Linked DNA regions of Rhinolophus ferrumequinum. The protein of the gene in region 1 interacts with the protein of each later gene in a pairwise test. Links are inferred from orthologs where the notes say so. Each region holds a gene or a part of one and is shown on either strand. Other genes may lie near its edges.

Region 1 (9,697 bases):
ACCAGAGGATGAACGTAGGATGAGGCTGGCATGGGGGTGCAGGGTCCTAAGGATTCCCGCACATGAAGGAGAAGGGATGACAAGAATAGGTCCTTACACAGTGTGATGGCTTTCAAGTAAAAATGAGAGAGAGAGAGAGAGAAAGAGAGAGAGAGAGAGAGAGAGAGAGAGAGAGAGAGAGAGAGAAAAGAAAGAGAGAGAGAGAGAGAGAGAGATATCTGGGCTAAGAATTCTAGATTTAAGCACTAGTTTTGCTATTAAATGAATGCAATTTAACCTTCCTTGATCTCAACTGCACAGTGAATAACTTGAAAAGTAATTGTATCTTTTTAAAAAAGTTCCCAGCACATGTGTTCACTCCCCTTTTTCCATCTGCCCTTACATTCCTTATCTTTTGGTTTGGAGCCAACTTCTTCCTGGCAACCAAACCCCCAGACACCATGAACTACCCTCAGCCTCCCCACCCCCCTTATTGGATCCAAGGTATCAGAGCCTCCCTCACTGTCCAAGCTACCAGACTAGTCTTTGTTTCACATTTAGTACCCAGTCTGCCTGTGAATTAGAACTAGAATTGTATTCCGACCTGTTGCTCAGGGTGGTGGCAAACACTGATAGATGGTTTCTGCCATGCCAAATTAGAATCCTCAATGGCTTCTCCCCATAAACTTTGTTATAATTGGTGGTTAGAGTCCATATTACCATGGATACTCTTCTACAGTTACATTCAGGATTAAATTGATTTTGCAGACTGATCTGGGAATTTAACCACCATTTGTACCACAGTCTCTGTGGGAAAATATACTCTGTGTTCCAAACAATTGACCTTTTGGAGTTGATCCAGTTCCTAAGTTGGGGACGGCCTGTACAATATTATGTTACATTTTGGGTTTCATTTGTGTTTCCCAGAATCAAAGACTTGTTAAAGCTGGAAGAAACTTTGATCATTTATCAATGGACTAATTTTGTAGGTAATAAAGCCAAGGTTCAGAAAGATAGAGAGATTTCTTTACAGTTATTCAATTATTCTGGTCTCCTACCTCTGAGCCAATGCTTTTCCCACTCTCCAAATTGTTTTGTGGTCTTTTCCTCACATAGTCATTAAATCACTTAAAAGTTGGGAAGATCACGTCTTCCCCAGCATGGAATCAAACATACTGAATGTTTCATAAATACTTAATTGGTTCATTATTCACTTTGGTTTCAAGGTCTAGTCACTGTAAGTTTCTTTAAATAACAAATACCATTGGGGCATTTCAATTAAGAATTTATTTACAATAGACTGGATTTGTTTTAAATCAACATTTGAATAATAATTCATAAATAGTCTATTTAACCAGTGTTTCCTACCTAAAAGGACTACAGTGTTGGATGTCATTGCAATAAATATTTTTCACAGCTCACAGACACATTTGGTTTTAGTTTTAGTTTTACATGCCATTAATTTTAATGTGGTCTTAAGGAAGAGATTACTCATTTTATAACTACATTAGAAAACTTAATAAGGCTTTGTTTGCTTGTTTACTAAAACCAATTGAAACAGAGTCTTATGAAACAATTCAGAAATAAACTTTCTCCAACTGAAAAGGTGCCTCATGCATAATTTGGATATACTGTATGAGGAGAGCAACCATCATAAGAAACAAAGTATTTAAATTGTTTTATTTGAAACACAATGTCACATTTTATATACTTTTCTTCACCAACAAACACCTTTAGTTACTTCCTGGTATCTGTTTGAAAGAGCAGGATGGGAAAGCACTGAAAGAGAAACAATCTCATGTATGTAGATGACATGGTTTTATTGTAACAAACTAGGAATGACCTAAATAGACAGCTGGCCCTGTAATCTAATTACAAGAAAAAGAAGGGCCATGGATCAACTCTGCAAAAATTTAACAGTCATCCTTTGTGGTAGCTGCCCATCAATTTTAATTGCCTTATAGTTAACAGTTTTATACAGCCAGTTAACTCCTTCCAATTATCAGGCATTTATTTTGTAGTCATTTTATCTTGAAGGATACACTAGAGAACTTAAGAGATGATGCTCCAGTGAGAGTCTGTGTGTACGTTGGGAAGTCAGAAGCGTGAGGGTGGGGGTGGGGAGGAAGCAGGCTGCTATTATTGGCTAAGGGAGAAGAGGCTTTTGGTTATATCTGGCTTTATAATTTTGGGGGCAAAAATAACTGAGGAGGGGCGGCCAGGTGGCTCAGTTGATTAGAGTGCAGGCTCCCAACAACAAGGTGGCCGGTTCAATTCACGCATGGGATTGTGGGCAGCGTCCCCTGCAACTAAGACTGAAAATGGCGACTGGACTTGGAGCTGAGCTGTGCCCTCCACAACTAGATTGAAGGACGACTCGGAGCTGATGGGAATTGGAGAAACACACTGTTCCCCAATATTCCCCAATTAAAAATAAAATAACTGAGGACATGCTTTATGACCTAGCTGATAACTTCGGCAGTTGATGATTTTCTCATATGTGTATTGAAATGAAAGCAAAACTAAATCTTAAGGAAAAATCTTCGCACTGCCCAGGTATACCACCTAGGCCTGGTTCTGTATTGAGGGATAGGCTTCTACTGAAGCATATATCCTTGTCTGGTTTCCCAATATCCTGGAATTGAGTTGACTACAAAAGCCAAAGACATTTGATATACAGAATGGCTGCCCTCCAGGTATATCTGGTAAAATTTAGAACTTACTGCCACTTAAGACTTATTAAAGACTTGATTAAGAGGTATCACATTTATGGAAGGACAACCCAATGAATATCCATCCATGCATTTATAAGCTATCTTGGATTAGTCAGGCAGCAAAGAGCTATCACTATCACAACCTCCACATTTTGCTATTAAAACCTACTCACTTTCACACTATATTGGCCACTGACCAATATTGAGAGGCATATAAAACATCCCTATGAAAGTCTGTGCTGTGTTTACAAAAAATAAATCATGAGACTATTGTTCCCTGTGTTCCAAAGTGCCTTCTTTGAGGACAATCCCTAGAAACATCTCTCTGGTCTCAGCACAGTGATGGTTGGGTTCCTCTAAGCACTGGTCTGTCTTTAGCTAATGGGCACTGGCATGTCCCAGACATTTCTTGTTATTAAGTTCAAATAAGATCATGATTTTATGAAGACCCACCATCAAGATTTCCCAAGCCCCTTGCAATCAGGACATCCAATTTCCCTGCACAGACATTTCTAAAATTACCCAAGGATATTGACATGCGGTAAATGTTTAACAACCAGCGTCCTGGTGAAAAAACTATAGATTTGTAGCATGTGCTAATTTCCTTGGTGTAACTACTCCCACCATGGTCAACATGATGTCACTGAACAAGGAGATGGAAAGAGATGCATAGTAGCATATGATTATATAGTATTCCCACAATAGAGATAAAACAGATGCAAACAACTTCCATACATAATAGTAAAATGTAGCAACATAAATAGGATGTGATGTTTTGAGTAATCATTACCTTTGTTTTTAGTACTGTATAATTTATTTGTAAGTCCATATAATTTAATTTTAAAATAATAGCTCTGTTTAACAATTGGCTTGCAAAATTCCTAAAAGTTTTAACAAGTGGTTCTCATGAGCCAAAGTAAACTGGCTCCAACACACCACTATCTAAAGCCCACTGGATTGGGAGTCCCAGATAATAGTTTGCCCTTCCACCTGTTAGATTAACAATCCCAGTGTAACAAGGAGCAATACCTTACCCTGATCCCTTTTCTAAGTCTTTTCACATGTCCAAAAAGAGTAGGAGGCAGTTTCCTATATGCATGCAATCAAAACCACTACTTGCCAGTCTGCTGCTCCACGGTCTGCTGGTCTCCAGGCTTGAGTGCTCACCATGGTGCCTGGTCCAGCCAATGTCTCTTACACCACTGGCAGCCTTCTTTTGTCTCTGCTTCTAAACTGTTGGCTTCCCTAACTGATGACCTCCACTCTGCCCTTAGGTCAGTGCTCACACTTCAGTCAAGAGCCTCCTCAGTGTATCTGCCACACGAGGCTTCTCTCCCCTTGGTACCTACTCACCTACTCTTGAACCTTACTGTGGTCCCAACTGCCACTATTGCGGCTGCTACCTGCAGCCTCCGGATGTCCACCCCTTACTTCTTCCTCTGTCCTCAATTTCTTATCCAAAGTACAGATAAACTTTGAACACTGAGTTTCACGTAAATGTGGCACCAAAACTTATTTATCAAAGTAGGATAAAATGGAAATGAAGCATGACCTCAATTTTATAAAAGATATATATATATATATATATATATATATATATATATATATATTTAAGTAGTTTTTCAGAATTTATATACCTACCTCATAGGGCTGGTGTTAAGGATTAAATGAGATAACACATGTTAACATCTAAAACAGTGCCAGAGCACATACAGGGATCTCAATAAATGGTAGCTATTATGAATGATACATGAGCAGAAGCACTGCCTTGAGCTTCGGATAGCATCTTGTCTGAGTTTCTGGACAAAGTTGTACTTGAGGAATGAGTAAAAGGCCTTTGGTCTGACCAACTCCTAGAAAAGGGCAAAAAGTCGGACTCATCTAGATCCTTTGCATGCCCACTATCCCTCCTGCCTTTCTAGAGGCAGACTACTGTGGTGGAAAGAACAGCTGGACAAACAACCTTTCTGAGCCTTCGTATTTCTTTGTCCCTCTCTTCTATGCGCCAGACAGTTGGTGGGTTTACCCTGGAGGTCACAGTCAAGTGCAGGAGATAAATGCACGATCACAAGGTGGATGATTAAGCAATCTAACGGAGGGATGGACAAAAACGCACTGTGGAAAAATAGTATCCACGCAGCGGAAGATGTAAGATATGTGAAAGCAAACTATAGAACGCAGAAAGTGGTACTCATGTAAAATATTATTGCTGATGCGGAGCCTACTGTAACTATGTCATCCAAGGACAATTGGGCAACTAGCCTTGTGGAACGGTATCGTATAAAACTTATTAACAATGCCACAGTTTTCCCGCAGAGTAACCCCTTTTTGCTTTCCAAACGCGTAAACCCGAGTTTCAAACACGGGTAACGCCGTCCGCGTTTCCCGGTTAACGGAAACAGGAAGAATCGCTTGCAAAACCAGGGAATGACGCCGAGAAAAAAAAATTGAAGCGGGAAGGGAACAACTATGCCTCCGGAGCTCCCGGTCCTGGGCAGCTGGGAAGCGGGAAGGTCAGAGCTGCCTACGCGCGCTCCGTGTAATGGGAGCTCCGGCGCCGCAAACCCCAGGAGCCTCCGGGGCGCCTGCGCTGCCTCGTCGATTCGGCGCAGTGGAAGCGGCCAGAGAGGGCGACGCACCTGCGCGAAGGCGGCGGCGGCGGTGGCGGCGGCAGCGGTGGCGGCGGCGGGAGAACCGAGTCCAGTGCGATTGCGCGAAGGCCGGGGAGGCGAGGGGTGGCCGCGAAGGCGTGCGCCGTGCGCCTGCGCGGGCTGCGTGGCGCGGTGGCCGGGCCGGGCGGTGTGGAGTGAGTGTCGCTGCGGTTGAGGCCGTCGGCGGCGCTGGTGAGCTTTGCGGAGTTGGGCGGTGCCGTGAAGGAGAAGGAGGAGGAGGAGGAGGAGGAGGAGGTGGCGGCTGGGTCTGACGCGGCCGGGTTCTTGGGGGCTCCGCTTGCTTGTTTATTTATTTATTTACTGTGTGTACCTCCGAGTGCGCGCGCTCCACTACTTGGTGGGGAGGGGGTGGGGGGAGGGCCCGGGGGAAAGGGGGAGCTGGAACCGGGGTCGAAACGCCGCGTGACTTGTAGGTGAGGGAACGCCGAGCCGTCGCCGCAGCCTCCGCCGCCGAGAAGCCCTTGTTCCCGCTGCTGGGAAGGAGCGTCTGCTGCCGACAAGATGGCGGACGGGGAGCTGAACGTGGACAGTCTCATCACCCGACTGCTGGAGGGTGAGTGGGGGCCCGGCCGGCCGCAGAAAGGGGGCGCCTCCCTAAGTCATTTCCCCTCGGTCGCCGAAACCCGAAGGTACCCCCTTTCCCGCCCTGTGGCGGCCGCCGAGGAGGGTTGCAAAAGGCTGGTTAGCCGGGGGTAGGCAGGGCGAGAGGGGCTGTCCCGGCGGGCAGCCCGGTCGGGCCCTGTGGGCAGTGTCCCCGGACCTTCGGGGACTGGCATGGCGACGCGCCGGCCTGAGGGTGCGAGGAGACCAGGGGTGCTGGATGACCCTTCCCAAGGAGGGTGCCAGGATGCGTGCTCCGTGCATTGTCTATGGAACGTGTATTTCTTCTCTGTTCTTTGTGCATTGCCCTTGGCTGCCTCCTATTCTTGTTCCGTGAGTGAATTTTATAAAAACCTTCTTGAGATGCTTGTTTGATCTGTTCTGCATTTTTATATGATGCTATAGGAGGAACTCTATTTAAGGAGAGGATAACAGCGGGAGTTGAGTGCCTCCCATTATTTTGCTTAAAAAATAGTAAAAAGACTGACGGAGTTGAAGATGCACGCAGGAAATATGGAATACGTAGACAGGTTTGCCGAAGGGATTGGCTTTCAAGTTTGAGAATTTAACAGGTTTGAACAGGATTTAATTTCGGCACAAACTTAGCAAAGGTCTGTTGTAAAGCCTCTCTTGTGTTTTGAAAGTCTTCGCAGCTTTTCAAGTTCCCAGGCCCTTCTGTTTTGAATGGTTTTATGTTGGGGTGAGGGATTGAGAAAAAGAGATGGAGATGCCAAGATATTCAAAGTTAATCGCGGTCTTCTCCCAGTGAATCCCTTCACCCTGAAATTTGCGTCATCACTAATTGCTTTGTGAGAGTGTAGGGAAAAAAATTGAGCCTTAAAAAAATTTTTAGAATCTTTTCTGCCAGAAGTCCAAGGATTACATATGCACTATCTGTTATTATTTGCTTTCAAATTACCTGAAGGTAATTGATACAGTGAAGCAATTTGTACTTAACATTTGGAAAATCATCAGAGATTGTATGATGGGGGGCGGGGCGCTAGTTCCTTCCCTTTTTTTCCCAACCAGTGTCGGTATCTCACAGTTCTGTGTACAAACTACAGTATATTTGCTCCAGATGTGGAGGCCGCCCAGCCGTCTAATACTTAATAAAAAGCAAAGTTTTACCAGGAACTCTTCTTTACCTTTTCCTTTCCTACGAAGTTATTCCTGGGAGGCCCCCTGGTGCCTGCAGTCAGTGTTCACTGCTTACGACTGTGTGTGGGCTTTTAACAGATGTGAACATATTGAGACATTTGCTTTGCCAAAAATTTTATATTGTAATTGTATGTTGTTGTAAGAGGGAAATATAGCTATTTAAAATTTTTAATATCTTGTTAACTTTGGGGAAAGTTTAGGCCCACCATCATTTTTATACATTTTAAACTAGGCTTGTAAATGTCAATGTTTTTTAAAATTTCAACTTCTCCACTTTTGTTTTCCATATACCTACGTATTTATATACTTTATATGCATAAAACATAGTAGACTTATGTGTTTTAAAATGTTTGATCTGAAACCGTGTAAGGCAAATGCACCGTTTTATGATTATAGATAACTTAAGAATCTTCACTAGTGGATTATTCAAGGTTATTGGGAAAAAATTGGCTAAGTGAGTGATTCCATTTGTTTTTGTGAATTCAAATTAAATGTTTGGTGGTTCTGGTTTTAAACAATCATTTTTCCTTTTTTTTTTTTTTTTTTTTTTTTTTTAGAATCCTAGTCTAGACATTTTCTGTTTTTAAATTAGCAAACATTTATTGACCTGCTTTGTGCCAGTCACCAGGAATCTGAAGATAAGATGCAGTCCCTTCACTTGACCTCCCAGTATAAACAAGTGATTTTCAGGCTTTTTTAGCCTCCTCTCTTTTGATATGTTCAACACACTCCCATCAGTAGAGTTTCATTACTTCTTAATCCCAGGAATTATATTTAGTTTAACAGTGCCTCCCTGAGATTCTTAAATTCTCCAGGCTCCTCCTCTCCTTTCCCCTTTCAAAATCTAAACCGGTTAAAAGGCATCCAAAACAGACTTGGAGTTTCTAATAAGTAATTATTTTTAGTCTTCAAATGAAATTTTTTATGTCTGCCTTGATGTTCAGTGATGTTACATGCTAGTTAAATTTAACTCAAATTCAAGTGATGGCATTTTGTAAAAGTTGCCTAGCAGAATAGCTACAGTGAAAAATTCGTTAGTATTAGAGGAACATACAAGTTACAATTGGGCACAGTTTCTCTACATAGGGGGAGTGGAAATTAGCAGTGCTTGATCTCACTTTAAAATGTTGATTTGAGTTCCACAATATTGTTGATTCTGTATTTTTTATTATATTAAATTGCCAGTCAGCTGTAGCACTTTCGGTAAATATATTTTATGAGTTTTGCTTTGTGTTTTTGTGTGTGTGTGTGTGTGTGTGGGCATATCATTGATGCCATGTTTACGAAGTACATAGAATATTTTAACAATTTTATTATTTAAATAAAACAATATACTGATGTTTGGATGGTGCATATTCCTTCAGTATATTTTCTTGGGTTAAGTTTCACTTAGAACTATAACCAAAGACGTCTGCCACTCTATCCCTTGTAGTGAGTGACCCTGCTACCACATTCTTGTGGCTTATTATACGTAGTATTCTTGACTGATTGTTTAAATTGAAGCTAGTTCCTATGGTATCCTGGAAAATCCAGTAAAAACTTTTTACTTTGATGTGAGTTCCAAAAGGAGTTAGGATGGCAGTGAGAGTATAGCAGAGTCACCTGTGACTTGATTCAAACTATAAATGTTGACTGTATTTTGGAGGAGGTGAAATGGAAGAAGCTTCCCGCTAATTAAGACAGTGGTAGCTCTGTTCCCAACACTGACTTGATCCAAGTGTTTAAAAACTGGGCTGTACCAGTTAATAATTAACATATGCCTATTATATATGTCATATGTCATATATATATATATATACACACACACACACGTATATATAAAACTGTGTCTGGGACTTGCTTTTTTTCTGATTATACATGTAAGCATTCTTGTAGAAAATTTGTGAAACAGAGAAGTATAAATGGAAAAAAGAAAACCCAATTCTTCCATAATTCCACAATCCAGAGATAACTCTTGTTGAAATTTTGATACATTTTTATTTATATACATTGCACCATTAGAGTATAGCTTTACAGGTCTATTTTTCAAGTATTGTGAACATTTTTCTTTGTTACTGAAATGTCTTCACAAATACTTCAAAAGCCATTTGCTGTTATGATAGAAAAGTTTCCTAAAATTTTTTTCTTTTAGTTTGGTACAAAGCTAAGCTTGAATATTACATCATGAATTGTAGAATATTAGCACTCTGTATACTTCTGTGGCAGAATATGATTGTTTTTATATTTTTGGCTCACTAATAGCTTTATGAAAATCTTGGGATGTGTGTGTGCTTGTTTTTTAATCCATTTTTCACTTTATCTCAACCTGTCGGATATCTGAATTGGTGGAACTGCTGTGATCATTTTGTGTACATTTCCCTTCCTTTCTTATGGATCATGTTCTCTTACAATTTACTTAGGCTAACAGATTAAGCAAATAGGAAGTTTTCCTCTTATGTGTCTTTTTGAAGATTAAAAAACGGAAAGGATTTGAAAAATGAAATAGATTTTAAAAAACTACATTAAAGTCCTCCTTTTAAGTAATAGTTTTATTTAGATATAATTCACATACCATATAATTCACCTATTCGAAGT
Region 2 (10,248 bases), on another chromosome or scaffold:
AAATTTCTAGATTTCACACGAATAATGACCAAACAAACAAACAAACAAATAAACAAACATAAAAATAGAAAAGGAAGGAAAAGAACCAGGGTGAAAATCAAGGAAGAAAGAAGTAGTTACTACACTTTCGAGTCAATGAGACTTGAGAAAAACAGGAGACAACCGAGCCGAGGAGGGGATTCACATATGAAGATGACCAAAGAATTACCAGAAGAAAATAGGGATGATGCCAAATATCTTTGCTAAGGCTTAATATATGGTTAGATCCATTCCCAAAGCTTAGATGAAAACAATGTCCAAGTCTGGCTTTGTATATTTTATAGTCCTGGCTACCTACCAAGTAAGACTCATCCTCTGGTTAGTTATCAGGTGGTTGTTTCGAGGGAAGTGTAGCTTTATAGCAAAGTTGAGCAGCCTTTATAACGCATGCACTATTGTCCTCTGCTTTTTATAACGCAGTAAGTAAAATAACGATATTAGATAATGGCTCCCTCACTGCACCCCGAGATGTGTGCCTCCTTGGAAACATGAGCAAGGCCAGGGGCAGAGAAGGAATATTCTCAACATGTGGTGACTTCCCCGATGTAACTGCTCGATTTCTAGCTCCAAAACGGCCAGTGGCTCTGTGTGGAGAAATCGTTACCATGAGTTTCGAGAAGGAAGAATGCAGTCTTTAAGTCGTAATTCTCTAGAGGATATCAAATGATCATAAGGGAAACCATGAAGTCAGCTCAGCTTCTGACTCCACATTTCAAAGAAAAAAAAGGAGTGATAGAAAATTAAAGGTTGCTGGAAAACATAGTGGCACACATTTAGAAATCACTGTGCATAAATACTTAGTTTTTTACCTCATCCCTCAAGTGAGTCATTGTTTTCTTAATACAAATTATATCATTGCCTGTTTCTAAGAGTAAGATCCAGGAAGCATTGTAAATATCAGGATAGAACCGGCTGAAATACAATTGTTTACACAAAGCCCTAAAACGCTTGCTGTATCTGAAGCATTTGCTTCCAGGCACGCAGCAGAAACAGCGCAGACCTAAGGGACAAGGCATGCAACAGCCAAGTGGTCTGTCCCAATCCTCAAGGCAGCTCGACATGCTGTTCTCCTCCCCAAAATGCATGCCCCTTGTCATGAAATTCTGGATGCTATACGTTGCATCATATGTATATAGTTACATGTTTAAATATAATTTATGACCACACCAGTCATGAACAGGGGATGAATAACCAAAGAATATAAATATATACTGGTTTCTGCCTAATTCTTTTTAAGCCTGTGGCAAAGCGGTATTCGCTCGTTCCCAGTCTCTCCACATCTTCTCTCTGACCAGCACCACTTAATATCATTTAAGTCAATAATATGGGTTATGAAGTCCCCATTCCTAACACAAATTGGCTATGTACTTTGAGATTCAAAGTTAAAGCAAAAGACAAGGAATGCAGCTATTTTCACCCAGGTACAGAGTATATGACTCATTAGTCAAAATTCTCATTTTTTTTTTTTGTAAGATGAGGTATGTAATTTGCCTAAAGTCCACAAACCAGGACCTTATTAGGATTATTTAACTCTTAATTTTCTCCAGTAGTGGGAATAAAAAGTCAATACTAATCCTTCTGAGAACAATTTGGTAATATAAATCAAAAGTCTAAAGAAGGTCTATATTCTATGGGAAATAGGGTTATAAGAAATAATCAGGGTTCTAATCAAGATGGCGGAGTATGTAAATGCTGTGCTCACCTCCTCCCATGACCACATCAAAATTACAACTAAATTAGAGAACAATCAACGGGGAGAACTATCTGAAGACTAGCTGAACAGAACTCCTATAACTAAGGATATAAAGGAGAAGCCATGTCAAGACTAAAAAATTCTGAAGTTTACTCTCCTTCCCCCATGCTCCAAAAAATATAAAGATGCTTATCAAAGTGTATTTACAGTACAGAAAATTTGGGAAAAGAAATCTAAGTGCCCCACAATAAGAAAAGTTAAAGTATGTTCTCTTTGTATGAAGGAGTAGTATGCGGTCATTAAAAAGTATGTCCCAAAATTTATAATAATACTAACATACTCAAAATGAGAAGCAATCATGAGTTTAAAAATTCAGAAATTAAATTTTATATGTACTATGGTTGTGATACTATAATGTTTATACATAGAATAAATACTGGGGAAAAAAGACAGTGAATTATACTGGTAGTTATTGCTGGGTGGTGCTCATCTCTACATTTTTCTGTATTTTCCACAATGTTGACAATGATCTTGTATTCGTTTTATAGTCATAAAAATAATTTAAAAATACAAATGAAAGATATCATACCAGTTTTGTACAAAGCACTGCACAAGGTATGAAGCTGTGAAATAAATGCTGCTCTGTATATGTAGCTTTTAAAAGAGTGGTCCCTAGATCAACCTCACTCAGGAACTCAAAAGCTCTCAACAGTGAGGAAAATGCCCAGCTGGACTCTCAAAGCTTTGATGTGTAAACCACTTAAAGTCTTCTCCCATGCTAAGGACCCATCCTCCATAGACAGAGGAGCTTACAGAATCCCTCGGTTGGTATTCACCTGACTATCCCATAAGACATGATCTAGCAAGTCACTTTCTATCAAATCTGAAAGAGGGGCAGAGGGCCCCAGGTAACCTGATGCGCCCAGAACAAGTCCGTAGCTCTGACAGGTGCAAACAACTCCACTCGTCTAAATATAAACTCAGGCAGTTTGGAAACAGTCTTCCCCCTTTCTATTCTCATCAGGCACAAGAATGTTCTCTTCTTTAGTTCTGACTCTTGGTGCTGGTTATTTTTATTTAGATTCGCTCTGCAATACTTTTTATTCAAAGAGAAGCAATGTTATAACTGTAAAAAAGAAAAAAGCTTTCTCTTCTAAAATCGTGGATGAAGATATGACCTCGGTTTGGGCTGTTTGTGAAACGTGTTGAGAAGGAGAAAAATCATTTACAATATTTTTTAAAGCTTTCTGAATGAGCAAAAAGTTAACGTTAAGACATGCATAAAGCAACACTGTCTAATATTAAAGCCAGGAAGAGGACTTAATTTTTAATCAGCAGAGTAGAAATTCTTTGTGGGAACGTAGAGAACTCTGCACCTTTGCACCAATTCCTGCCATCCTCTCTCCTGTCACACTGTCACACCTCTAAACTCTAACTCCCCCTTCAGGACACTGCTCCGTGGTCACTTGTCCAGTAGCCTTTTGGGACTTGCCCCACTCCCCACCCCCACCTCCACAGCCACACATGTGCAGTCTTCCTCTTAGCTCCCCAAACACAGAGGTTTACCTTCCATATATTTATCCCACATCATTATTTAACCTAAGAGCTTCTCGAGAGTAAGATTATATTTCATTTTTCCATTTCCAGCACCTACACAGGTTTACAGTAGTTACTCAACGTATTGTTGAATGAATGAACAAATGGTTACCAGAGGACTGAAGGAGTCACTGACGAGCCCATATGCAAGGAAGAAGACAGTGCTACCACTAATGGACACAAAAAAGGAAAAGTTTATGGGAAAATGATAATTAGCTATGCTCAGCCACTGCCAATCTTTTAGGTTTAGTTAGGGGGAGGGAGGAGGGCTGATTCATTAAATGAAATTTGTAACTAAAATACCAGGTATTATAAAAGAAACTTGGTATGCATTGACTAAAGGGTTGAAATTGTCCATTTTTACTTTCTGCTATAAAATGAGAGGGTGAGGCTAGATCTTGTCCAAGGACCAGACCAGCTGTCAGGTTCTGGGGCTCTGGGCCTGCTATGAATTCTGCTGGAACAGTCCTCCAGAGCTTGCACCCCAGTTCTATTCTGATCGCAAAAGAGACTGTGCTCTTTTCAAACTCATAGACGCCACACTCCTACCTACCAAGGCTGTGGTGTGCCACAACTAAGTTTAGCCCCACACTCCAGGTCTGAAATAGTCACCTAAACCACAGGGGAAATTATTACCCATGGTTTCCTCGATCTATGTAAGGAAGATGCTTCCAAACCCTCATGCCATAAAGTTGTATTTACTTGTCCCAACTTCTGCCCAGCTTGGTTCAGATCACCCTTTGCCTGGACACATTTTGCAAGACCTATTGGCTCTTTATCTGCCCACTCCTGCAGCATGCTCACTACACTTGAGAAACGGAGCCAACACTTGGCTTAATAAATCTTCAATGTACTCATCAGCTAATAAAAGGGGAGTTAGAATTGGGAAAGGGAATATTGCATAGAAACTTTACTTGCCAACCACCTACCAACAGTTGATTTCACAGGTGGTCCTTTATCAGATTTGCCTATTGAGAGAGAAGGAAGAGGACTACCGACCGTCCTTCACACACGGAGACTACGTATGTCTGGGGAAGCTCTCTAAGCTGGAGGCCCGTATTAGATCATTGTAACCGACTAGAGTTTTTAGTCTTAGATGCTTAGATTAATTTGATTCTTCTCAGAAGGTGCTGCACTTTAATGAAAATGAAAATAATAGCTAATGTTTTTTCCTCCACTCTCCTTTCTATAACCAGTGTTTTAATGTTTGTGTGTTCTTTATAAAAGTTAGATGTGATTCATAATCAAAATCTGTTTTCAATATTGGTATGTATGTAAACATGATAATGCAGCCATTTTTATACATGAGTATAAATACAATAGTATTTTTAAAAGTAAAAAAAATAAAATAGAATCTGCTCTTATAGCCCTTTAAGCAGAAATTTCCAAATACCATATTCAACATGATGAATTTTCATATCGCTAAATGTTTCCAGTGCAAAGGACTGGCTTTTACTCCTAGATTAGGTCCTTCATGCATTTTGTTATTATTACTGTTAAAGAGAACTTTTTTTAAAAAAATAAAATGATAGTAACAGAAGATGGTAAGGTTTTGTTCTAATGTGTTCACTCCGCACTTTAAAAAGCTGGCAATCCTATATCAACTTCCAAAATTCATTAAAATTAGAAAACTGGGATCCTCCTCCTTAAAGTGACTAGCTCAAGGCTGATCACAAAGGAGATCATATATATGACTTTATAAAGATATATTTAAATTGATCTCATAGGAAAGGAAGAGCTTCTGGTCTCTTCTAAGCTCACCATTCTCTACAGACCTCATGATGTATCCTAGAGATCACAGAGGCCCTGTTAGATCCAGGTCTTTTTTTTTTTTTTAACAGATTCAAGTCCTTTAAAATATACCTACATGATAAACCCTCAACTACATATATGCTGTACTCTGTGAGATGGGTATTGGTCCTTTGCCCCAATAGCAACTTTCTAAAAAGAATTTTACTGTATTCCTTTCACAGTAACACCTGGACCTTGACTGCACAAAACAAGCGAACGATAATTGTTTTGACACTATCTCGGGAGCTGGGAACACCTATCCCGGAGAGACGGCCGCCTACATCGGAGAGAAACACAAGTATTCTCTCAGGGCTTCTCCAGGGTCCGCAGGTGGTAGGGGAGGTCATTTTCATGTGGGAACCCCCCAACTAAAGTGTAGATGAAAGTGGGGCCAGCGGGACAATACAGGAGGGCTTTGCCGGCTAGGGCTTTGCGTACGTAGCGGGACGCTTGTGTCCAGGTCTCGCTGTAATGGGATGCTGTTCTGTAGGAAAGTGCCTCTGCTCCCTGGCGCCCGTCCCTGGGCTCCTGATGAAATAATGACCTGCCGCCCTTCCCAGCCCCTGGACTGCGGCCCTATCACTCCCGGCTCTCAGCCGATCACGTGGAGGAGCGGTGCTCTCCAGGACCGCGGCTCCACCGCCATTGGTCCACAGCTCTCGTCCCGGGCACGCCCATTGGCTGCGGGGGGCGTTCACGTGAAAGGGGGTCTGGGATGGCATCCCAAGAAGGGAGAGGTGGCCAAAAAGTTAAAGGGAGCAGCGCGGCGGTGAGTAGCCCGACTCCCGGGTAGCGGACCGCAGGGAGGAGGCAAGCGGGCTGCTGTTGCGCACGGACGGATGCGGCTGCCAGCGGAGGGCGCGGACCTGAGTCCTGGCCCGCGCTCCTGCTGTCGCCCCCGCTGCCCCTGCTATCCCCGCGCGGATGCTGCCGCGGGCTGGCGCGTTTGCACTTCGGGGCTTATGAACTCTACCAGGTACGTCCTCCCCAAGCCCTGGAGTCCGAGTGCGGGACCGCGGAAACCGCGATGAGGGGCGCGCAGTGAAGACCCTCTTTGGTTCCTGCCATCTACACTTTCTCCGTCCAACTTGCAGTTGTACTCCAGGAGTGGAACACTCTAGACTGGTTCCAGGAAGCTGTTGCTTCCACGTGGGAAGAGCAATTAATTCAGGGACGAGTGGTGGGATGGGCCCCACGTGTTCCACCGAGATGCGGTCGGGGCCGCTAGGGGGCCGGGGGAAGGGGGGAAGGGTCTGGGGCTGGGACCCCAGATACCGTTGCTCCCTGTTGTCCTTGGTTCGAACCTGGCACAACGCGTTTCCAGCCTGGGGCCTGACACTTCTGGAGGGTGTCTCCGGAGTTGGGCGGTGGTCTGGAGCACAAGGAAAAGTTGCTTCGACTCTCTCCCGGCCTTGGTTTCCCCATAAACCTCAAGGGAACACCTAGTCTCTCAGGCCCCCGAAGGCGATGGGACCTAGAGCGCCACGATCGCCGTGGGCTCCAGGAGCCGGGTCACCCCCAGTCCCCAGACTGGGGCTGTCCTGGGTCGGCAGGGACGAGGCGGCCCAGCCCCACGGGGACGTGCGGCGCCGCTCCGACTGGTGTAATAACGTGGACTCCACTTCCTACTCCTACACCTTCTCCTCCTCCTCCTCCGGGAACCGGATTTAGTCCGGTCGCGGCGTCCTCCCCTGCCACCTCCCTCCAGGCTCTCCGATGCAGGGAACGAGCTGGAGAGAGAGCTGCCCCGCGGCCCCAAAGATTGGTGCCGGACCTGGAGAAGGAGGCTCGCGGAGGGGTTGGGGGCGGGGTGCAGCCAGAGAGGGGCCGGGTCAGAGAGGGGGCCGGGTCAGAGTGATCTATGGGATCTTCCAGCCTGGACACTCAGGCTTGCCCCTGGCACTGTGTTCATGCCATCCTTTTGAACACGGAGAAGGGCGTATGGATTAGAGGGCCCAAAACGACATGCTAGAAGATTTGGGGCCCGTCATGGCATTATTTCCTGCAGAAGAAGAGAAAATTGAGGGAAGACTACTTGGGGACTTGAAGCGGTGCTAGAAGGTGTGGTGGGATCCGGTGGGTTGTGTGGCCCCGCCTCCTTGGGAGACCTAGGGTCCAGGAGAAGAGAGCATTAGGGCTTTGGGCTGGGGTGCAGAGGAAAAGAGGAAATGGTTCATTTGGCAGGGTTGTCCCGGAGCCAAGATTGAAGCAAGCCAGCCGTAGGCCTTCCCACAAAAGTAAAGTTGAGGTATTTAGGGAAAGTTAGTGGGAAGAGAAAAACCATCAGGTATTATGAGCAACCAGAAATGTCAGAGCTAATAGGGACCTCGGAGGAGAAAGCTCAAGCCCAGAGAGGTTGAGTGACCTGCACCAAGTGGCTCAGCTAGGTGGAGGCATGCGCAAGCCAGTGCTCTGTTTCACGTTGGACATTTTTAGATAGCAGGGACTGTGCCATTTTAACCTATCTCTTTTCTATAATATGCAGCCCCATCCACAGATGATTATCTCAAAGATGTTTTAGATGATGGTGACAGAATAGAGGAGTACAAGTGGCTTTTAAGACTGTGAATAAGGGCCCCATTGTCTGAGTACAAAGGGGAAAATGTCAACTTTATTCATACTGTGTCAACCAAACCTTTGGGAGGGGATAAAAGAATGCTGAAGGGGTAGATGGCCATGTCTTCAAAAAATAATCTGGTTGTGACTGCTTATCTAGTGTAGTTTCAGTGTTCCTGGGGAGTGTGTGTGTGTGTGTGTGTGTGTGTGTGTGTTGGGGGTTATTGGTGTATCTTATTTTTCTGTCTTTGTTTATCAAAGTACAAGAGAATGGAAGGGGAAATGTTTTGGTCTCAATACAAAAAAGAAAATAAAATAATTTCCTATGAAAGGCACAGCCAGAAAGTAGCAGCTCAGCTGCCTGAAACTATGAAGGTCATAGGGTTATTTTCTGTACAAGCCTATATAGTTTTCACAAGAAAAAGCACCATGACCTCTAGCCCTGGCCAGCTGTCTTGAGATGGTGTGTTATTTGTCACTGGTGGAACAAGGAAAGATTTATGCAAAACTATCCATTTTCTCTCTAATTTTCATGGAGTGTTAGAGTTGTCCTCTTTTGACCAGGAACGCTGCAATCTAGCCTTGGGCATGGCCCAATCCCTCATGGGGCCACACTCATCTCCGGCATCTATTTGGAAGCAAAGTTTTTGAGCATCCATACTGGTCTGAGGAACAGCTACTCATATTCTCATGATCTTGTCCTTCAGCGAACTGGTATCCAGGTCCTTTGTCATGCTCTGCTGGGTAAAATGTGTGTCCATATCTTCTCATTCTCTTTTTTACCTTGGCCCGCCTTGGGGACTCATATTCCCTGGTACGGGCAAGGGAAAGGGCTGGAGTAGCAAGAGAGTCTGTCAGGAGAGGGGGCCGGAGGTACAGCCTGGTGCATTCTGCGTTGGAACTGATCATTTTCCTGCCATTTGAAGATAAAATGTCTGTCTAAGTGCTTTCCTTTCAGGAACTTAGGCAACTATTACCTTGTCCGTCTCTGTTGCTAGGTCTCCTTCTGGGTGAGGGTCATCCCTGTCACAGGCCATGGGGGAGTTCCTGAGAAGAGGGTCAAGAAGGCCTACAACAAACCAGCATTTGGGTGACCGATTCTCGGAGAATGTCCCAGTTCATACAAACTGGAATCTATATGTGAGAATAGGCGAAGTGGTTGACAGATCCTAGATTGAGGCCCCAGAGGTTAATGTCCTCACCGCCAGTTCTGGTGACACACAAAGTAAAGGGATTCTAAGCAGGACTTGCTTGTGCAATGCCCCAGGGCAGTAACCCTTAGGCCTCCAGGTGATTAACCGTACTTTTTGTCTTTCATGGAAGAATGTTGCAAAATCGATGAGGCTCTAGAAAGTGCCAGTGGAATTGTTTAATTAGCTCTGGCTCTGACTAGAACCTCACCTCCCGACCTCCAGTTCCACTTGTACTCACAGCTTCGTGGTAAAAGGGATCTTGGGCAAATTTACAGCACTGGGTCCAAACAGTGTAACTTTACCAAGTCTTCAACTAAGTCTTTTTAACCTGCAGGATTAGAACTTGAGGGTGACTTTGGTCAGCTGCAAATGTGCAGATTCTTTAACTGATTCCCTTATTTTAGAATTCTGTTTCCACAATATCTTGAGAGCTTCCCAGCCTTTTTCTAATGAGCTGTTTTAACGTGCAGGAAAGCACGTATGAGGCTGGTTTGCAGGCTAGTTGGCCAGGCAGAGAGAACTTGCAGTTGACCTTGTGCTGACTCAGGCAAGGAGGAAGCTGCCGTGGCCCAAGGAGGAAGCCCTCCTCCCTCAGTTCACACGGACGGACGTTGTCAAGGTTGTCAAGCGTGGACAGAGTGGGAGGGGCCGGGATGCAAGGCTTTGCTCCCTGTTTGATTGTTCATCTGTATTTAATAAATGATAAACAAACTATCTGTGTTAAAGTTAGAGCTGAAGGTGTAATTCTAGTACATTCTAATGAAGGTTGGCAATGGACAGGAAAAACAAAAATTCAAGTTTATGTGGTAAGTTTAGGGTTTTTTTTTTACATTGAACTCGTTGGTGAACCCACTGACTTTCTTAGAAGCTATCTTGCCCAATTCAGTCAGAACTCTCCTTTCCAGAACAATTGCACAAGTATAAGAACAGATCACAGAAAGCAAATTTGTCCCTAAAATTTCCCCTTGTTTGACTTTGTAAAAGAGGAAACAGTAAGACAAATATCCTTTAAAATGAATATTTAGATAACTATGGCTATAAATCATTGTTTTATTTGTCTCTGAATGGGTGCGTTTCTCCAACTGCTTTTCATCACTAAGTGATTCCTGCATCCCAGGGAAATGCTATACTTCTTTTGGAAAATAGAATCAAATCCATTATGTCTTTGTCCTTTCTCATTTTTTTCAATGTATTTGATTAACCAAAATCAGAAGGTGAAAAGGAGAAACTATTTGTTGGACCAAACCAGTGGTCCTAGCTCTTGTCAGATGATAAGCAACATTTTCCCTGTCACTTCTCCTTAACTACCACCATCACCCTGCCACCCCCACCACAGGGTGGGAAGTAGGGAAGGCCTGAAAAGTAAGCACCCCAACACAC
Region 3 (10,236 bases), on another chromosome or scaffold:
TTTTCACCTATGGCCAGACTGGGACCGGGAAGACCTACAGCATGGAGGTGGGAAGAGGGGAATCTGGGTGGCTCCTGGGGCCAGGGGCTGGGACGTGAGCACAGATGTGGCACCCCACCTCGTCCCCAGGGCCCACCTGAGAACCCCGGCATAGCTCCTAGGGCACTGCAGTCACTGTTCCGGGAGATGAGGGCTGGAGGGCAGCACCGCGTGACTCTCAGCATGGTGGAAATCTACAACGAGGCTGTCAGGTCAGCCATTCCTTGCTGCCTCCTACCAGCCTCTGGCCTCTAGCCCTTCTGCACCGCCCTGTCCTGCAAGAACCCCGGAACCAAGTCCTCCCCTTTCTCACCAGGGACCTCTTAGCCCCGGGGCCTCCCCAGCGCCTGGCTGTGAGGCAGGGCCCAGCAGGCCAGGGGGGAATCCAGGTGGCTGGCCTCACCTACTGGGACGTGCCCAACCTGGAGACGCTGCAGCAGGTAAGGCTGCGCAGGGGGCCGCGCAGACCTCCAAGGCTCTGCCCTGTGCTCGCCCCTAGGGGTGTGGACCCTACAGCAGCACCATGCAGCATGCAAGCCCTTTCCTCGCGTCCTCAGATGCTGAGCCTGGGGAGGAGCAACCGAGCCACTGCGGCCACCGCCATGAACCAGCACAGCTCTCGCTCGCACGCGCTGGTCACGCTGACGCTGCGCGCGGCGTCCCCTCCGCGCGGTTCAGGCACCGCAGGTACCACGGTCCGGGCGCTGCCCTGTGGGGGGCGTCCCTACATCAGAGACCGGAGCTCCCTCCACGTGGGCTCCCCCGCCCCTGCAGGCACACTGCACCTGGTGGACCTGGCTGGATCGGAACGTGCCTGGAAGGCGGGGGCCATCTGCAGGGCACAGGGAGACCCTGACAACGCCCAGCGTCTGCGGGAAGCCCGGACCATCAACCGCTCGCTGCTGGCGCTGGGAGGCGTGATGGCTGCGCTGCGAGCCCACCGGCCACACGTGCCCTTCCGCGACTCGCAGCTCACGCGCCTGCTGCAGCCGGCGCTGGGCCCCGGCACCACCGCGCTGCTGCTGCTGCAGGTGGGGACCGCGGCCCCGGCGTGGGGCGGTGCCCAGGGCCACGGGAGGGCGGTGTGCATGCTAGGCGCCACCCACTCGGGCCCGCCCACCAGAGCCGCTCCCCGCAGATATCCACGCGGCCCGAGGATCTCGGCGAGACCGTGTGCTCTCTCAAGTTCGCCGAGCGAGTGAGCAAAGTGGAGCTGGGGCCGGCCCGGCGCCGCAGGGTCCCGCGCTCTGGGACGCCTTCCTCCCTTAGCACCGACACACCATTCACGGGGACACCCTGCACCCCCACACCGTCCCCTGGCAGCCCAAGCCCCGGCCCCGACAGCTGCTCCAGCTCGGCCCTCGTGCACCCAGAGGACCTGCCCTCATAGTTATGCCCAAAGCGTCGGGTAGCGCCTCTGCCGGCAGAGGCAGCAAAGTCCCTGCACCTCCACAACCTCCTTGACTTGAGCTCCCCTCCCCCGCTCCCGGCGACGAGTGTTCCGCCCCGAGGAACAATTGCCGGCCCCCTCAGCCCAGGCCCTCAGTTCCCTCCTTATCACCATTTGCTGTTATCACAGCACCCGGCAGGGGATCCCAGAGCTGCCACAGTCGCCATCAAAAATCAAGACTTGGCATTAAATGTTGTCTGTTCCTTTACTGTTATCTTCCCCACTACCACCACCAAAACCAGGTATGGTCCCTGTTCCCTATGCCCTTTCCCCCAAAAGGTGCTACCTCCTTCCCAGACAGTTGAGGGAAGCCAGGACTTCAGGCTGGAGCCGCCATTAGGTTCTCCCTCCCCCAGCCCGGAGCCAGGGGAGGGGAGGTGACAGATGGTGATGGATGGATGGATGGATGGATGGATGGATGGACGGAGGGCCAGAGAAGGTGAGACCAGGAAGGGCTACTCTAAGTGGAGCCCCAGTCTTGCCTCTGGGAGTAGGAGAGGCATGGCTGACCATCAGGTCCAGGGTGGTGACCAGAGGGTCACCACAACCCTTTGTGGGGTAGTCCAATAAACATTGTGGACTCTTGGCAGGGCTGGTGCCTGGTATTTCAAGGCTGCTGTGGCCACAGACACCTCTTGGTCCTCTTAGCCTTGGTCCCCCCCCGAACAAGCCACTGGTGGCAGGAGGGAGTGGGAGAGCAAAGCAATCCCTGGCCTGCAGCCTCACAGGCTGTACCAGGAGAGCAGCCAGCCTGGGGTGGGAGCAGCCAGCTCCCGGGGGTGGCTCACCCATACATCGTAGATGCTCTTGTTGGGTGGTACCCCCTGGAAGAGGGCATCTAGGTCCCAGAGCAGTCCTGGGGGGCTGTGGGGTTCAGGAGCCCCCCAGTAGGCTGGGCTGGTTGAGGGTGGGCACTGGGGGCAGGAAGTGGGTGGTAGTGGGGCCAAAGGTATTACCACATTGGGGGTGTATATGGGCAAGTAGGAGGTGGGTAACTGCCCCCAAAGTGAGGTCCTGTGACCCCCACCGGACAGTCCCCCAGGGTCTGGGGTACCCTGCAGTAAGTGGAGAGGCCAGGCTCTTGGCTCAGGGGAGAGGGGCGAGGGCCTGCTGGTTCCCACCTGGGAAGTCTCCCCCTCGGCTCTCATGGTCCCCTGGAGGGGGCAGAGGGGCCACAGAGGCCTCTCAGAGGGCAGGGGTGGTGTGGGCACTACCTCTTCCTTCCTTGGCAGGGAACCGGCCCGATCTGGGCTGTTCCTTGGCGCTCCCTCCCCGGGGTCCCCCAGCAGAGACTTTATGCTGAAGCCCTCGCTGGGCGGCCTGGGAGGTCGGTAGGGCCGGCCATGGAGCACGTAGGGGCCCAGGTCCTTGGCGAAGGCCCCCCGGGTACCCCTGCTCTGCCAGCGCCGGCACAGGGCCGTGTTCTGCAGACGCAGTGCCTCGGCGGGAATCAGGCTCACGTCGACGGCCCAGAAGTTGCCCTTGGCCTTGGGCTTCGCAGGATCCTTGGGCACCTAGGGTGTAGGGGTGCAGGCTTGGTGGGGCCTCGCGACCCGGATACTCGAGATTTCCGCCCCCGCCCTGGCCCCGGCTACGCTCCGACCCCGACCCTCGCCCTGCCCCACCTTGCGGAAGCATCGGTTGGAGGAGAGATTGTGGCGGATGGAATCCTTCCAGCCCTCGTAGTCGTCCCTGAAGAAGGGGAACACGGCCTGGACCTGACGGATGATCTGAAACCATGGGGCGGCGGGCAGGCGCCGTCAGCCCGGGCGCCGATGGGGGCAGCGCCGCCCCTCCCCCACAGCCGGGCTTGAGGCGCCCCTGCGCCGCTCCCCCAACACCTTTGCGCCCGGGAGAAGAGGGCACTTCACCGGGAAGGGTCCTGTCTGAGCATCTCAGCTCTCTCTCGGGGTGCCCAGGTCGGGACTGGACCCACTGGCATAGCTGGCGAGGCCAGGTGGGGGTGGAGATCAGAGCCTGAGCGTCGGAGTAGGTAGGGGACAGGTCTGGGAAAAGGTCCCACCAAGGAGTGTGAGGGACAGCGGGGCACCCTCTCACCTGGGCCAGCTTCAGCCTGCGGGAAGGTGCTGCCTGGATCACCAGGGCAATCATGGCCAAGTAGGTGTAGGGGGGCTTGTCGTGCCGAAGGTATCTCTTCTTCCTCCTCTTTGGGGCCTGGGAGGGTGAGTCCCTCCCGGGATGCCCCAGGCTTGGGTTGCTGCAGGGCCCCATGAAGGGGAGGCCGGCAACGTGGACAGGGGGCTGGCCCGGTGGAGGGCACGGGGAAGTGGGGCAGTAATGGGGAGGCAGAGCCTGGGCCTGAGGCCGGGTGGGGGCAGGCCGGCTGGGCCCTTTATCATTCGGATGGAAGGGGGAGGGGAGGAGAGGCAAAGGGAGGGTGGAATACAGCAGTGGGGGAGGGGAGCATGCAGAGGGCTGCCACAATTAGCAGGTTTCGGTTAATCTGGAAGGGAGGGGCAGGAAAGATTCCAGAGGGGGTTGCAGGCAGCCACCCAGGCCTCATTTCTCGCTCCTGGGCTGCCTTTGCCCCGGCACAAGCTGGAAGAGCCCCTGGAAGGGGCCTGTGACCCATGGTTACTTTATCAGTCTGTCTGGGCTGGGTCCCAGGCTCCCATTTAACAGACAGGAAAGTGATTTGCCCTAGCTGCCAAGGAGGGGTGGAGTCTACCCAGAGTTCAAGGCCAAGCAGCTAGAAGGACTTTAGTGGTGGTCTGGGAGGGCTTCCTGGAGGAAACCTCAGGAACAAAAGATGAACACAGTTGATTCAAGGGATTTTCCCAAGGGGGTCACTGGCCACCTCTCTGGGCCAAGCCTCACGGATACAGATCCATGGGTCATGGTCTCTGCCCAGGAGAACCTTCGAGGACCACCTGGCTCCACCCTGGGTGGGAGTGAGTGCAGGTGTGTTGTGTGTGTGCACAGGGAGGGCTTCCCAGGCAGCCACAGGGCCCTGAATCTTAGTCTAGAGGGAGGGAGATGCTCCCCAGACTGGTGGAAGCTGGCCTCAGTGGAAGAGGAGCACTCTAGGAGAGGTAGTGAAGGCTCAGGCTGGGGAAGCCTGAGGGACCAGTGACCCCTGCTCAGGCCTGGTCAGAGCCTCTGAGGACTTTAGCAGGGAAAGCACTGATCTGAAACTGTGGCCCTAGAAAAACACCTCTGGCAGCTGCCCAGAGACTCACCACACCCTCTTCTGTCCCCTCACCTCCTTCCTGGCTATGGGATCGGTGGCTCTGCCCTTGAGGTCAGTCAAGGCCTGTGCTCTGTACCCTGCCTCAAAGCCCAGATTCCGCCCACACACACACTGGGCAAGTTTGTCCAAGGGATATCAGGCCCAGGGCACTAGCAGTGGTGGCTGGTGTTGGTATCAGGGCCCTCAGAACTGAGGGAGGCTACAGGAGCAGAGATACACTTTATATCACTTTACTCCAATAATCCAGCTTTTCTTGTGCAGCTCCCCCACCCTGTTATACTCTTAGAGTGTTGAAAATCTGCAGCATAGAGTGTGTGCCTCCTCATTCTGAGGCACTGAGGAGGGTGGGTACACTGGAGGAAGGAGCCTGGGGCTGAGATAATGTGTGTTTGTGGGGTACCACTGTTCCCCCACTATCTCAGACTGTCCTTTCAGACTTCACCTGGCTTCCTCTGAACTCCTGTCACCTGCTCTACTCCTTTCTATTCCCAGGTTCTCTAGTTCAGGGGTTGTTGTGTCTCACTAGGCTGTTACTACCTATGGCCTCCTAGCCCCCCTTGGTCAGCAAAGAGGTCTTTTTCTCCTACACGTCTTAAGTCACCCTCTCTCCCCACTGGCCCTCCCTAGCTTCCAGGATAATGCCCAGCTCCTTGGTTTGGCGGTCAAGGACCCTTGTGTTCTCACTACTCATCTCTGACCACACTCCTCATCCCCCGCCCCCGCCCTCTTAAACCATCACCTCTGCTTCCCATTTCCCCCATGCACTGGGTCCTTCCACCTTTGCGCTTGCTGTTCCCTCCGCCCGTCATGCCTTTGCTTTGTCGGGTGAACTCCGGCCCTTCCTTAAAAGCCCAGCATAAATAAATGACCTCCCTCCTGGGAGCCTTTGACTACTTGCCCTTCCCGCCCCACCCGGACCCCATCCACGCCAAGGATGCCCCTGCCAGAGAGAGGCTCACAGGGCACGGTCCGCAGAGACCCACTAGTTGCTCCGGGCAGGCCCCGCCCCCAGCTCCCACGGGGCGCCTCGGCTTCCGGTTCTGGGCCGCGCGGGCCGGAAGTGTAGCGTTGCCATGGCGACGGCCGGGCGCGGGGCCCGCCCCTGCGGCGCCCGCAGGAGCGCGGGGCTGACTGACCGGTGGACCGGATCCGATCGACTGCGCGAGGCGGAAGGTGAGGCTCAGACTTCCGGGGCCTGTGGCGGGAGAGAAGGACGGGTCCGGGGGAGCGAGGAGGCCGGGCTCCGGGGAGGAGAAAGGAGGCCGGGCCCCGGGGGAGAGGAGGCTGGGCCCCAGGGGGGAGAGGAGCCGGGCCCCGGGGGAGAGACGAGGCCTGAGGGGAGGCTGAGCTTAGAGAAAGGAAAAGGGGGGAAGACCAGATTGAGACGGGGAGGAGGAAAGCCCAGATGGGGCGTCCTCAGGAAACACCTGGCCAGCGCGGAGAGGCCAGGGCAGCAGTCTCTCCAGGCCCCGCTCGGACGCGGTGGATGAGGCCCAGGGCAGTAGGTGCGAAGGGTGGAGAACGGCTTCTGGCAGTGACAGCCCGTGAAGGCCACCGGAAGGGCTTCTCGTGGTTTACCTGTATGTGGAACGGTTTGCATTCTTGCAGCCTGTTGGTCGGGCCGGCAGCTCTAGAATGCTCTCCATTTCAGCGGGGAAATGAAGGCCCACAGGGAAGTGACTCGCACGGGCTTTGTGTGGGCTTTGGAGGTGGGCCAGCGGAGAAACCGAACCTGTCTGGGACAAGCTCCTTAGCTTTGCGTCGGTTCAGGTGACCTCACCTGCAGTGGGGATCCCGGGCCCCACCTCACAGATGGGGTCAGGAGGAGAAGTACTCAGGCCCCGTGCTGTGTGGGAGGTGCTCCGTGAGTGGGTTGGGCCCCTCGCTGCCCTGAGGCTGTCAGAGGCCGAGGTGACCAAGGGATTAATTTCCATGGCTGCAGAGAGGGGAGGCGTGTGTGGACTCACTCCAGAGAGAGGCTGGCCCTCCCCAAAGCTCTGGGCCTGCCTTTTCTTCCTGGACCCTTAACTCGGGGGTGGAGGTGGCTGTAGAGGCACCACACTGCTCCCATCTCTGCCTTGGCCTAGCAGTGAGCCTTCCTGGGCATCCGGACCGCCAGGCGCCCCCCGGCAGGACTGGGGTTTCCCTGTGGGACATGTGAAGAGGTCTGGTGCTCCTGACCTTGCTGCCTCGTCCACTTCAGGGGCACCGAGAGAGCCCCCACCTGGGGCCGCGTTTCCTGAAGGGCTGGTAGCTGCCTGAAGGAGCCTGCACATTGGCCAGCCCTGTGTTCTTCCTTGTGATGGGTGCGTGTGGCTCTGAGTGGCCAGCTGCCCCCCTCCCCGACCTGAGCTCCTCTCAGAGGCGGGCGAGGAAGCATGAGCAGGTCCCGGCCTCCCTCCTGATGCCCAGGCTGGATTTCCTCCCTGTTGGCTGGAGCCCCTTCCCCTGGCCGGTCCTGGCCAGTCCTGGCCTCTCCCTCACCTGCTTGGGGCATGCCTGAGCTGGCCAGCACCTAGGAAAGAGGTTACCTGTGGGCTCAACGTTGGGGTCTGTGAGGGATTTCTGAACCCCTGGTCCCACTGCATGCAGTTTGGGAATCTGAGTCTTGGGTGAACCCTTGGTGACCCAGCATATTGTGTCTGCCCCAAGAGTGCCCGCCCTGGTGCCTCTGCCAGAGTCCACCCGTTAGCCAGAGCAAGACATCTGGGTGGCACTTCCAAACTTTTCCCTCACCTCCAGGTTCTCCCAAAACTTCCTTCTAAATGTCCCTGATCCGGGCCATTCCTACCCATCCTTCAGCCAAAAAGCCTGGTGGCAGCAGCTGCCCCTGGCTGTCTTCTTGGCTCTTGCCAGCCCATTGCCTTCATCTTCCTCACGTGAGCGAGTGAGTGACCTGAAATGCAAATCTGATTCTCGTATCTCCTCCATGAAATCCTTCCCCACAGATGTGAGGATAACATGTTCCTGTCTTTGCAGAGTAGCCCCCCAAACTCTGTCCCGACCACCTTTGCAGGCGTGACACCACGCACCACCATACTGAACCCCTGCATGGTGGTGGAAGGGAGAGCGAAACTACCCCTACCCTTTCCAGGCTCTGGCCTTGGGCAAGGCCTTGCCAGCACAGCAGGCTGAGAAAGGAGGGCGAAGAGGTGCAGGAAAGCTTAGTTCTACAGACGCCCACCTCGGTGTCAAACATGAGAGAGGGTGGGGAGATAGAGGGTGACGGTAACCACAGAAGACCTCTGAGGAGGTAACACTCAAATTATGATCTGAGTTACAAAGAGGGGAGAGCGATCCTAAGATCTGGTGGGAGAACTTTCCCAACAGAAGAAACGGCCAGTGCCAAGCAGGAGCCGTGCTGAGGACAGCGTCGCACAACCCTGATGGAGCAGGGGTCACACGCGGTCTGTGAAGGGCCACATAGTAAACATATAGACCCCGAAATTTCAATCTCATGTCATTTTCATGTGCCACAAAATATTCTTTTTTGGTTTTTCCTGACAATTAAAACGTGTAGAAGCCATTCTTCACTCATGGGCCACATAAAAACGGGTGGCAGGCCGTAGTTCGCTAACCCCTGTGCTAGACACTGAAAATGCTGCATGTCTAACTCTTCAAATCCTCTAAGACCCGTTTAGGGAAGGTACTGTTATCATTCCATTTGTAGATGAGGAAACTGAGGCCGAAGAGGTAAGAAACTTGACCGATCTCCTCAGCTTCTGCCCCTGCTGGACCTGGAATGACTTCTGCGGGCCAGGGAGTGAGTGCTGGGTGGGACATGGATGGGAGGGCCAGGAGACACAGGCTCGGACCATGCAGGGTATTAGAAGCTAGGGCAAGACTTTGGAATTATATACTGTTACTGTTTTACAGCAAACTTATTTGAGGTATAATTTACATATAATAAAATGTACTTGTTTTAAGTGTATAGTTGGGTGGGTTCTGCTAGATGTGTACACCCTGGTAAACACCAGAATCCTGATGTAGAACCTTCCGGTCACCCCCAGAAGCTTCCTCATTGCCTCGTGGTCGGTCCGTCCTCCCTCCACCCGGCCCCAGCAGGCACTGCTTTCTGTTTCTGTAGATTCAGTGACTCTTTTAGAATTTCACATGAATGAATCCTAAGAATGAACACTTTTTTTTTTTAAGTGTGTTTTTCCAGGACCCATCAGCTCCAAGTCAAGTAGTTGTTTCAGTCTAGTTGTGGAGGGCGCAGCTCACAGTGGCCCATGTGGGCATTGAACTGGCAACCTTGTTGTTAAGAGCACCGTGCTCTAACCAACTGAGCTGACCGGCCTCCCCGAATGAACACTTTTGTGTCTGACTTCTTTCACGTGACAGAGTGTTTTGGAAATTGATATGGTTGCCTTGTTCAGTGGTTCTCTTATTTGCCAAATGGTTCGGTGTTGTGTTGTGTGGGTATCCCACCATTTAATCGATGCACACACCCGTCGGTGGACCCTTCAGTTCTTTCCCATTTTTGGCTGTTATAAGTAAGGCTGCTGTAAACATTCATACACAAACGTCTTTGTGTGGACATATGCTTTGTTTCTCTTGCCTTTATTTCTTGCAATGATAGAAACGATGAAGTGTGTGCTTGACTTCACTAGAAAGTGCCAAACGATTTGCCAAAATGCCTTCGCGTTCATTTTACATGCCCGGTTCCATATTCTCTTTAACTCAGTATTGTCATCTTTTTCAAGTTCAACCATTTTCTCATGTGTGTGGTGTGGCTTACCATGGTTTTAATTTGCATTTTCCAAACGGATGGCGTGAAGCATCTTTTCATGAGCTTATTTTATTGGCCATTTGTATATCTTCTCTGTGAAGTGTCTGTTCAAATCTTTTACCCTTAGAAAAATGTTTTTTTTGTCTAGGAAGTTTTAAGAGTTCCTTGTGGTATGTGTGCGCTCAGGCTGTGGCTGGGCTCGGAATCTGCACCACTGTCTTCAGTAGCAGATGTTTTGGTTGTGACAAAGTCCGTTATGGTTTGTGCTTTCTTGTGTGGTGTGAGTATAGGTCAAGGATCATTGTTTTCATGTGGACATCCAGTCATCCCAGAGCCACCTGTGGAGATCACCCTCTCCCCATTGTTTCAACTCAACACCCTTGTTGAAAATCAATTGACAGTACATGTGGGGGTGTCTTTCTGGACTCTACTTTAAGTAGTCATCGACCGTATGCTAACATCACACAGATTTTGCACTGTAACTGTACGATAAGTCTCAAGATCAAGTACTGTAAATTCTCTAACTTGGTTTCTCTTTTTCAAATCATTTGGACTCTTCAAGATATTATGCAGTTCTATATAAATTTTAGAGTTAGCTTGTCAATTTCCACAAAAAGGCTTACCGGGATTTTGATTGGGATTGTATTGAAGCTAAGCTCTACTTGAGAAGAACTGACATTTTAAGACTATAGAATGTGGTATATGTATTTCTCCATTTATTTAGGTCTCTTTTTTAATTATTTACTCCTTTATAACAGATTGCCCTAAAATGGAGTGGCTTACAATGGTAAACAGTTATTATGT

What was found.
Region 2: the proteins of PPP1CB (region 1) and PPP1R3B interact in a two-hybrid assay, tested with the Homo sapiens proteins (2 studies listed by BioGRID and IntAct). The link is inferred for Rhinolophus ferrumequinum from reciprocal best matches to the Homo sapiens genes PPP1CB and PPP1R3B.
Region 3: the proteins of PPP1CB (region 1) and PPP1R16A interact in binary tests that used the Homo sapiens proteins (3 or more experiments, as listed by UniProt). The two-hybrid records come from large-scale screens. The link is inferred for Rhinolophus ferrumequinum from reciprocal best matches to the Homo sapiens genes PPP1CB and PPP1R16A.

Annotation. Positions count from the first base shown.
Region 1 is NC_046296.1:52,232,109-52,241,805, reverse strand, and holds the start of PPP1CB (serine/threonine-protein phosphatase PP1-beta catalytic subunit), read left to right. Parts: upstream 1-5,401; 5' UTR 5,402-5,536; intron 5,537-5,592; exon of another isoform or gene 5,593-5,778; 5' UTR 5,779-5,866; coding exon 5,867-5,918; intron 5,919-9,697. UniProt on the Homo sapiens protein: Protein phosphatase that associates with over 200 regulatory proteins to form highly specific holoenzymes which dephosphorylate hundreds of biological targets.
Region 2 is NC_046287.1:68,532,117-68,542,364, forward strand, and holds the start of PPP1R3B (protein phosphatase 1 regulatory subunit 3B), read left to right. Parts: upstream 1-5,751; 5' UTR 5,752-5,958; coding exon 5,959-6,095; intron 6,096-6,973; exon of another isoform or gene 6,974-7,180; intron 7,181-10,248. UniProt on the Homo sapiens protein: Acts as a glycogen-targeting subunit for phosphatase PP1. Facilitates interaction of the PP1 with enzymes of the glycogen metabolism and regulates its activity.
Region 3 is NC_046297.1:73,171,634-73,181,869, forward strand, and holds the start of PPP1R16A (protein phosphatase 1 regulatory subunit 16A), read left to right. Parts: upstream 1-5,739; 5' UTR 5,740-5,873; intron 5,874-10,236. Other genes in the region: kinesin-like protein KIFC2, read left to right, coding at 1-47, 130-251, 356-479, 597-1,070, 1,178-1,429; FOXH1 (forkhead box protein H1), read right to left, coding at 2,212-3,003, 3,115-3,219, 3,548-3,721. UniProt on the Homo sapiens protein: Inhibits protein phosphatase 1 activity toward phosphorylase, myosin light chain and myosin substrates.